Linked DNA regions of Neodiprion lecontei. The protein of the gene in region 2 purifies or fractionates together with the protein of the main gene of each other region. This does not show direct contact. Links are inferred from orthologs where the notes say so. Each region holds a gene or a part of one and is shown on either strand. Other genes may lie near its edges.

What was found.
Region 1: the proteins of GTP-binding protein 128up (region 2) and N-terminal Xaa-Pro-Lys N-methyltransferase 1 purify together in Homo sapiens (affinity purification with mass spectrometry; 3 studies listed by BioGRID and IntAct, counting the BioPlex papers as one, with this or other methods). This does not show direct contact. The link is inferred for Neodiprion lecontei from reciprocal best matches to the Homo sapiens genes DRG1 and NTMT1.

Annotation. Positions count from the first base shown.
Region 1 is NC_060261.1:34,123,817-34,128,159, reverse strand, and holds N-terminal Xaa-Pro-Lys N-methyltransferase 1, read left to right. Parts: upstream 1-1,970; 5' UTR 1,971-2,094; coding exon 2,095-2,262; intron 2,263-2,469; coding exon 2,470-2,656; intron 2,657-2,735; coding exon 2,736-2,844; exon of another isoform or gene 2,845-2,966; coding exon 2,967-3,222; 3' UTR 3,223-3,512; downstream 3,513-4,343. Other genes in the region: probable pre-mRNA-splicing factor ATP-dependent RNA helicase mog-4, read right to left, coding at 1-24, 211-506, 592-794, 869-1,110, 1,193-1,361, 1,455-1,623; heparin sulfate O-sulfotransferase, read right to left, coding at 3,513-3,724, 3,907-4,064, 4,187-4,284. UniProt on the Homo sapiens protein: Distributive alpha-N-methyltransferase that methylates the N-terminus of target proteins containing the N-terminal motif [Ala/Gly/Pro/Ser]-Pro-Lys when the initiator Met is cleaved.
Region 2 is NC_060261.1:2,391,921-2,397,089, reverse strand, and holds GTP-binding protein 128up, read right to left. Parts: upstream 3,322-5,169; 5' UTR 3,134-3,321; coding exon 3,092-3,133; intron 2,994-3,091; coding exon 2,828-2,993; intron 2,766-2,827; coding exon 2,635-2,765; intron 2,537-2,634; coding exon 2,297-2,536; intron 2,185-2,296; coding exon 2,016-2,184; intron 1,908-2,015; coding exon 1,778-1,907; intron 1,699-1,777; coding exon 1,576-1,698; intron 1,492-1,575; coding exon 1,389-1,491; 3' UTR 651-1,388; downstream 1-650. Other genes in the region: centrosomal protein of 131 kDa, read left to right, coding at 29-200, 286-449, 509-647; uncharacterized protein DDB_G0272682, read left to right, coding at 4,948-4,965. UniProt on the Homo sapiens protein: Catalyzes the conversion of GTP to GDP through hydrolysis of the gamma-phosphate bond in GTP. Appears to have an intrinsic GTPase activity that is stimulated by ZC3H15/DFRP1 binding likely by increasing the affinity for the potassium ions.

The DNA.
Region 1 (4,343 bases), about 32 Mb from region 2:
TGAGCTTCATCTATGATCATCACACTGAAAATTCAATCAGATTCGATACTTTTACTTGTAGTCTTACATAGGTATATGGATCTATATAATGACTTTTTGCTGTCAAACATGGATCTATGCAATAAATTAAACTGACTGTACAATTTCTTGAAGTAGAAATTAGGTTTTATTATTTTGAAAAAAGTTAAGCATACACTTAAGGACAAATACCTGTAAGTAGCAAGATCTGGTTCACTAAGGAACTCACGATGTAAAGTTCCGTCAGTCATGTATTTGATACGGGTACGCTGAGAAGTACAGTCTTCAAATCGAATAGCATATCCAACTTCGTTTCCTAATTTAACAGCCATTTCATGTGCAACTCTTGCGGCAACAGACATTGCAGCAACTCTTCTGGGCTGAGTGCAGCCTATGACTTTACTGTCATCAGCAAAACCAGCCTGATATAAATACTGTGGAATCTGAGTTGTTTTGCCAGAACCAGTTTCGCCCTCAATAATTAACACCTGTTCAGACATAACATAAATCTTACAGTAAAAAAAGTACAAGGCAAATGAATGAGAGTAACGTAATACAGATATCAAATTTCACCTGATGATCCCTGATAGCCTGTATCAAGTCATTTTTAAAAGGATATATAGGAAGACTTTTCTGTGTCTCTTCAATGGTAGTTAAAACTTTCATTTCCTTCGGAGGAGAAACAGCTTGTTTCTTATGCTTGGAGCTTCCTGGTATCTGCAGCGCCTGGACAAACTCTACTTCATCTTCCAGCAACAGATCATAATCCTGTTTAGCTGTAAAAAATTAAATATTCCTTAAAAATTATAAATAAGCAAATCTTACTGATAATTGTGAGAAGAATTATTACCTTTTCTATCTTTTGCCCCAAAACGAAATACTGCTGATGACATCTGGTCCGACTCCCATTTGCTTTGCTCAGATTGCGGTGGTTCTGGGTCAACAGTTTCAGGCTCAACAGCATCTTTGCCTCGTTCATGAGGCATGTGATACCTTTGCACCCGTTCCATTTCACGCGCCTTCTCATGCTCTTTGGCAAGCTGAAGTAGCTGCTTTTTATGTTCTCGTTCCCTCTTTTCGCGCTCAGTCAGGCTGTTAAATGAATTTGATTTATAATTTTGAAAATCAATACTTCAATCCAACCAGAAAAGTATTCTACTCCTGTAAAACTCACATCTCATCTCCAAAGAGATATTCATCGTCTAATATGTCAGCCTCGAGCTCAGCTACCTTATCTTCCTTTCGTTTCTCTAAATACTTCCTCCGCGATTCGACGCGAAGTTTAGGAATAAGCTTATCACGAGATTGAGTTTCCATAACCTTAAGTCTCTTGGCTGCTTCCGCTGCAAATTTGATAATATTAAGTGTATGAATGTCACCACTAAGTGATTGTATAAAGCTGATAAAACAACTTAGGACATTTTGCCTAAACTTACCAGCCCCGGATCCAGCTGGTGTAGCAACCTTGCGCACCTTCGTATCATCTTTGGACTTGAGACGTTTGGCAAATTCATCCCTTTCCTTAATATCCCTTTTGCGCCTCTCCTCTTCGCTGTCACTGTCACTGTCTTCTGGCGACGATTGCTTCCTCCTATACTTGCTCATTTTCTGTTTCTAAAATCCTCAACGACTCATCTAGGCTAAGTCCTGAATTATATCACAACGGTTAGTAACTGAAATGAAGGTTGAAGCAGATTATTAAATTTCGATGTTATCGCTGGACAACAGATGAATACTCACTAACAGTTCTGGTAAATGTATGAAAACTGTTTAACGTGCGTATTTTACGGGACCGGGAATGATAATACGATTGTTAAACAACAAACCACGATACAAAAAAACCTGACCACTAATTTGAAATAGTTTGAAATCAGCCATAAAAATCGTGTTTGAGATGCACACACATTCGGGTAAATAAGTTTGCCTTTTGGAACGGTCGAGGAAAACAATAATAATCATAATAAAGTCACAATATAAAAATTGAATAACCCGGGTACATTTTAAAATTACACAATGAAAGTGATGTGTATAACAAATTAGAAAAAGTGCTCAAATCTTAAAAATATCAATTTAGTAATGGATGATATTCAGAAAAATGACAAAAGGACTGAAAATTTTTATTCCGACGCTGCCAACTACTGGTCTAAAGTCCCAGCCACAGAGGATGGAATGTTAGGAGGATTTGGGTTCATTTCGAACACAGATATCGAAGGGTCGGAATTATTTCTAAGATCAGCCTTCAAGGTACGGTATTCAGTCAAATTTACACAAAATTGTGTTTCATAAATATTTTATTGATGCTCGCCACATTGATGCCGAGATACCTAGGAACGTAACCTCAAAATTCAAACCCACATGTGCTTTCGTATAATTTTGGAATCCATCTGAAGGCTGATTCCAAAAATATATTTTGATCTATATTCTGTGATTTCCATATAACGCACGTTTCAGTTAAAAAATCCTCCGAGAAAAGAATATGCTTTAGACTGTGGTTCTGGGATTGGCAGAATATCAAAACATCTACTTACCAAACACTTCAAAAAAGTTGATTTGGTTGAGCAAAATTCCGAGTTTCTAGAAGCAGCAAAAACTTACCTCGCTGGTCGTACAAAAAGAGTTGGGGAATTTTTTCCCATAGGTATGAAAGTAAAAGCCTGAGAATCTTAAATAATTTACATATAATACATGTAATACTTTACAGGATATTACTCTTACAGGTCTGCAAAACTTTTGTCCTGAAGTAGGGAAGTATGATGTCATATGGTGTCAATGGGTTTTAGGACATCTACAAGATAACGATTTTATAAAATTTTTCAGCCACTGTCAGTTAGTAACATTTGCTATTCATATTTTGTTTCAGTATTGTAATTTACAGTGGAAATGAGAATTTACCGTATAATTTACAATGTAAAATAGTAATCTGTAACTTTGTAAAATATATTCAACAGGGCAGGACTCAAAGAGAATGGCGTGGTAATAGTAAAAGAAAATATAACAAGTTCTGAAAACGTTGAAGTTGATACACAGGATTCCTCAGTAACACGCCCACTGAAGGAATTACAACGTTTATTCGATCTGGCTGGATTTTCTTCTGTAAAGGAACAAAAACAATCCAGACTTCCACGAGGTCTTTATCCTGTTTATATGTTCATATTACGACCTAGAAAAATCATACGGAATTCTGTGAGCAATGTACTACAGTAGAAATAAATAGTTCACAATTATCACATAGATCAGTTTAATTCCGACATTGCACACAACAATAAATATATATATATGATGATTGTTAATATTTAATTCTTTGATATGAATGAAATTGTAAAGAAAAACAAGAAAGACCACTTGAAAACCATACACAAGAATAATTTTTAAAAATTTTAACACTTTTTAATTCAATAAAGTTTATACTCAACTGGTTTAATTTTTTCAGATACAAAGTGTCGATTCACTAAATAAAAATATTTCAATACTCTTAAATTTACCATAGTTTAATTTCATTTTGGTCTGATTTTTTCATACATGAAGTGTTGATTCGCTTCCTGCGGCGTTGAGTTTATAACACGCTTTTTTACTGCGTGAAAATGAGCCAAAACATGCATGTATAAATCATTCTCCATCTGCCATACTTGCGAATTTTGAATTTTCTTCACAGTTTCTGGGAGAGGGTCAATTTTTTGGGTAGTTTGTCGTAAGTGGGACTTGCTATCTGAAAAAATTAATTGATTTGAGATTTTTTTAAATTATCACAAACTGTAGTTGCGTTATATTGTAAAGACATTGCCAGTGGATAAAAGTAGTAGACTAGAAAAATTATTAAAAATTTGATTGAATTTTAAAACATGCTATGCTTTACTATTATCAATCCTTAATATCTAACACGTGTCTTACTATGCATAAAGTGATCATAGGCTCCTTTGAAAAATCGTGGTAGTGTAGCCTGAAGAGTTTGTACAAATTCTGGTAATTCTTCTGTGACTCCAACTAGGAGGTAGTGTTTTTCTACATTTCTTTTAGCTTCTGCAACTGCCCATGGATTACCGACTTCCCTTTAATCAATTAAATCATTACATTCAACTAAATATACGTTTGTGATTATAAAAGATAAGAAATTGCACAATAATTCTCAGTCAATTGATTTCCAAGCATATTAAGTGTAAAAACTTCATACCAACAAGCAGGTTCGTGTCCACAGAGGAACGGAACTTGAAGCCACATATTGTTTGGATCACAGTCAGGTTGTCCATGTCTGACGCACTCGTCGAATGTCTGTAAGATGTAAGGTATGTTATCTTCACAAAGGATAATCTTACAAGGAAGAAAGAAGC
Region 2 (5,169 bases):
CTTTAAATAACTTTTAAAATTGTTCAAGATGTATGAAAGAAAAATATGAGGCAGAGCTACAAGACTTGAATAACAGCAAAGAATTGCTGACAAGTAAAGTGACCTCCGTGCAGGAACGCCTCACAGAGACTACGACGCAGCTTCAAATAACTGAGGGAAAACTTCAGCAGTGTATGATCCAGCTAAGTAATTCTAAACAGGTATGAGGTGTAATGTTATTGTCGAAATCAGTTGTGGAATATGATAAGCACTCAATACAAACAATTCTTATTCGTTCTCAACAAGAGCGTAGATCAATTGACGATTGAGAGAGACGATGCAAAGAAGATTGTTAGGAAGGAAATTGAGATGGAAAAACGAGAACTGGAGAATAAAATAGCCTCTCTTCACCGCGAACTTACTGAAAATAATTCTAATAGAGATGTTCAAATGGCTCAACTTTATAGCAGGTAAGGAATAGTTAATTCTATCGACTTTATCCGATATTCATTCATGTTCATTGTTGTAGGGTCAAGTTAATAGTAACGCAAAAGGATCTGGCAATAGGGAAATTCGCCAAAGAGATTGATGAAGCAAAGAAGAGATGCGATCATCTGGAAAAATTATTAGATCAACAGAGGAAGGATTACATACTTCAGTCTTTATAGATATTAAGTGTAAATAAATATGTTTTAATTTTAACCCTCGCACATCACTGCGCTACAGGTTTAAGTTGTTTTAAATGTAAGTTTTTTCGTAACAAGCATTTCTCAGTCTAGGCAAGCACCCAATCCTACGCGATATTTTGAATTAACTGCATTTGAAACACGCCTATTTAACACAGACATTGCAGGAAATATACCTTCGTTGTTTATAACTGTATTATCTGTAATATAAGTTTATACTTCGACAATTTCTTATTTTTTAAATGCGTTTACAATAAGCTACATACTACACAATAATTTCAAGAGTCGAACTGAGAAATTGTGGAGAAAAATGCAGATGTAGGCTTTAATTTTTAGTACCAGCCCATATTTATTTAACGCTCTTCATCACTGAAAACAATGACACAGTAAGAATTTGTACGCTTTAGAGAAAAAAAATTCTGTTACGGTTTTCATAAAATAGATATATATACATATGTGTATATATATATGCGTGGATCTTGTTTAATGCATGTTTGTGTGATAAATTATTTTGTGAAAATAATAAAAAAAATTGTAATTTCCATCAGATAGTCCATCTCACGTTGAACCCATTTATGATCAACGAGATGTTCCGAAAGGTGACAAACTCTAGAAGGAAATAATCGGAAAATAGTCTAATCAAAGTGGACCTATCGTTTCTTACAGATCCGTAATTATGTCTTCAGCACGTTGGTAGTCACGAAATGTTTCCACTTTTTAAAATCACACTCTCTTAACAACTTGTACAACATCTTCATCACATAAGATATGATCTTTTCCAACTTTTTGAGGCTGGTGCTTTACCGATGAGCCCCAAACAAGCGCGCTGAAATATTAAATATATTATGGTTAATTGTCTTCGACTTAGAGAAAATGCGGAGATTAGAAAAAGACAACCAATGAAACTGACTATTTGAACTCTTTAGCAATGGAACGATGCAGTTTGTTGCAAAAATCCTCGACTGATCTTCGCTCGATGTTCAATACAACTGGCGAGTTGTAATCAGGAAGCTGGCCTTTTGGTTTTGTATAACTGTAAATATTACAATAATAACACAGTCATTTTTAAAATTCACTTATAGGACTATAATAAATTTGCTACACATACGTACATTCTCACAAGTTGCAAGTACTCCCACATTTTTTCAAGTAAATCATCAAAATTCCATTTATGGTGGGCAGAGATTGGTACACAGTGTGGTATTTTGTAAATAACGTCCAACTCCTCGATACTAATTTGATCTGTGGGGGGGGGGAAACAGTATAATGATCATAATTGAATAACAATGTAACAACAGTGATCCATTCTCAGCTTTTCTCGACAACTCGACATTTATGATAGTTAATTACCTATTTTGTTGAGAAGGTAAATGCAGGGTACATAGACACGATTACCCTCAATAACATCAATAAGATCATCCGAAGTAGCGTCGTAGCGGAGAGTTATGTCCGCATTGTGAATCCTGTACTCTGAGAGGATAGATTTTACGGTGTCTAAATCGAGTTCGGATTGTACGCACTGTTGAACACAAGATTTTTTTTTTTGTTAAATTTAAACAAATTCAACAGCTACCACGCTGTACATAAATCCAAGAAAAATTAGCTAACTGAAACCAATTCACAATTCTCACCATGGTTTGTAGATTGATTCCACCCTTATCTTTTTTTCTGAAAGTAATATTTGGAGGTTGCTTATTCAGCCGCAGACCGAATCCCTCGAGTTCATGTTCAATGAGCTTCTTGTGACCAAGAGGCTTGAGAACATCTAATACAATAAATATAAGGCTGCATGTACGTGCAACTGCGATAACCTGTCTTCCTCGACCCTTGCCATCTTTAGCACCTTCGATAATACCAGGAAGATCTAGAAGCTGGAATGTAAAATTCATGACATATTTATCGTTTTGTTTGGTTCGTATTACCAGATAGGATAATTTTAAGAATTCCGGACTCTCTATCAATTGCAAACCTGAATTTTAGCTCCTTTGTACTTGATGCAACCAGGGACGGTAGTGAGGGTAGTGAATTCATATGCAGCTACCTCGGAATAAACACCGGCAAGAGTGCTGAGCAAGGTTGATTTGCCAACGGATGGAAATCCTGTTGTAACGCAAGACGGGATGTTATCGAATGCAGTTAATCAGAGTGCTTTCAATATTTACCGACAAACCCAATTCTAGCGTCACCGGTTTTGGCTACTTCGAAACCCTGTTCTCCGCCTCCACCGCCTCCCTTGGGGGTGATCAGTTCTCTTCTAAGTTTGGCTAGCTTTGCCTTAAGAAGACCCAAGTGGCCGGACGTCGCCTTGTTTTTTTGGGTCCGAGCCATCTGAGAATCGAGGTTTCATGTTATTAGAGGATGTCGAGTGATTTGAATGGGTATGCGGACACCGAAGCTGTTCAAAAATTAACGCATTTATAGGTTACCTCAGCCTCGATCGAGGCGATCTTTTCCAATATAGTGCTCATCTTGTATTGGTTTTAAGGGTAGTTTCCTGGCTTCAATTGTACTCTCAAGGCACTCTGCAACCTCTTCCGAAATACATTACGCGGCGAACGTTGCCACCGTTCTTTATTCAACACGTGTACTGGTACATGCCTTTAACCGCGAACGGAACGAGATAGACGTTGCTGCAAAAAGGTTAACAGATGAAAAAAAAATAGAAATATTCAACTTCTGATCATAGACTAAGAATTACTTGGATTTACTCAAGTCCGTCATCCTCATTGTAGATTGTAGCCATCGGGCTTGTACACCATAGACTTACAAGATAATACAGACAGACTATGCCATCTGTGCAGCTAGCTGAAGCCGTAATTAGAAAGAGAGAGCAACAGCTGAAGATGGTCCTCTCCTCCAACCATGGGTCTGACGATTGCAGAAGTGGCTAACTATGTGGAAACACCACAGATAGCGCTTCAGTTTTCCAAGTTGGGCGCCATTTTGCATTTAAATGGCGCGGCGCGCGTCGCTGGCGAAGTCTTACGAGGGCGTTCGAATCGTGGTTCGAACTTTCCCGTGGGTTGACCGGCGAGTGGGCGAGTATAGGCGTTGAAAAATCGGAATACGAGAGAGCGCGCGACTGGGCGTGCGGCAGGCAGGGGTGGGCGCGAGTGGGAGCGAGCGGGCGAGTTTAATGCGTAAGACGAGAAGGATACTCGGTAAGGGTAGACGTAGGCTGTTTAAGGGTAGGCAGGTATTCAGGGAGGCGAGTGCGAGTCGAATAATATAAGCGAATACGAGTAGGAAAGAAGAAGAAGAGGAAACCTTCGCCGGGCGCGAGGCAAGTGAGTGGGAGGAATATAGCGAGGGCGAAGAGGGCAAGGTGGGTGCAGAGGGCGAGGGTGAGGGTGTCCGTACGTACACGGAGAGAGAATCGATCTAAAACTAGGAGTCGCCGCAGTAACCGCTGGGAGGAAGCCACTGTTACAATTTGGCCCATATGCGTTAGTGAAATCTTAGATCGGGTAATTGTAAGATACCTAGTAGGATGAGGGATTTCCTGGTAGATGTAGTTTCCAAGGGACCCGTTTGTTAGGGTCCGTTGTTTAGACCGCCTCTACCCGGCATCTCCGAGAACCGCGCGATCAGAATGCTGCAGCGTTCGGTCCGCTACTTCTTTTAAATAAGTGCTTGTGGGACGGTCCCGTACCTGCAGGGATATGACGTAATGGCAAGAGAGGTATGGCAAAATCTTTTTTATTCATATATCTCAAGATTGTGCACACGAGTCTTCCCCTGTACCATCCCTGCATGCGCGCCCCTTCCATTCGTTCGTTGGGTGCACTATACATCAATTTTATCATCCTCCCGTGACATTACTGATTTTCAATAACATTCGCAACTCCCTTATTTGTAATATCGTTTTTATTCTCCCAGGGATTCAAACCCCGTCCCCTTGTCACCCTTGTCGTGGAACGCTGATACGTGTTTGCAGTGGCGAGATTATTTTCCTCCCTACACACCCGTGACCTACTTCCCTGGGAGTTGACCCCGTGCAGTCGTTCAACGTACGCGGTCCTCTTCATTCTTACTTTGATCTCTCGCGGAGACCTCGTTATCATTTTACTTCGAGTGTACATACTTTTTGAATTTTTAATTATCGCATCCATAGCTCACGTCTCGTATAATCGTTTATCGTGTCGTACCGTACCGTTATTTGATCCCTTAATAACAATTTATCACCATCGAACAGAAGTAATCCATTTATATCCACAACGATTTAAGCGTTATTGTAACGTTAGATTCCGATATCGATCGATAGTTATTTTAATCTATATTAATGCGAATGCCAGCAGAGGTGAGCCGAGAAAATCTACAATTATACTTATAGCTCTTACATTTCATTCATTATTTTTCGAGTGATGATATATTCGAAAAAACGCCCGTTTGTCTTCCGTCTGAATTCTTCGTTACTGTGAACAATTATTCAATGAATTTTCTGCCGTGCAGAGAAGCTTTCTATATATATATTTTTATATGTAACAGAGTGTTTAAGATTAAA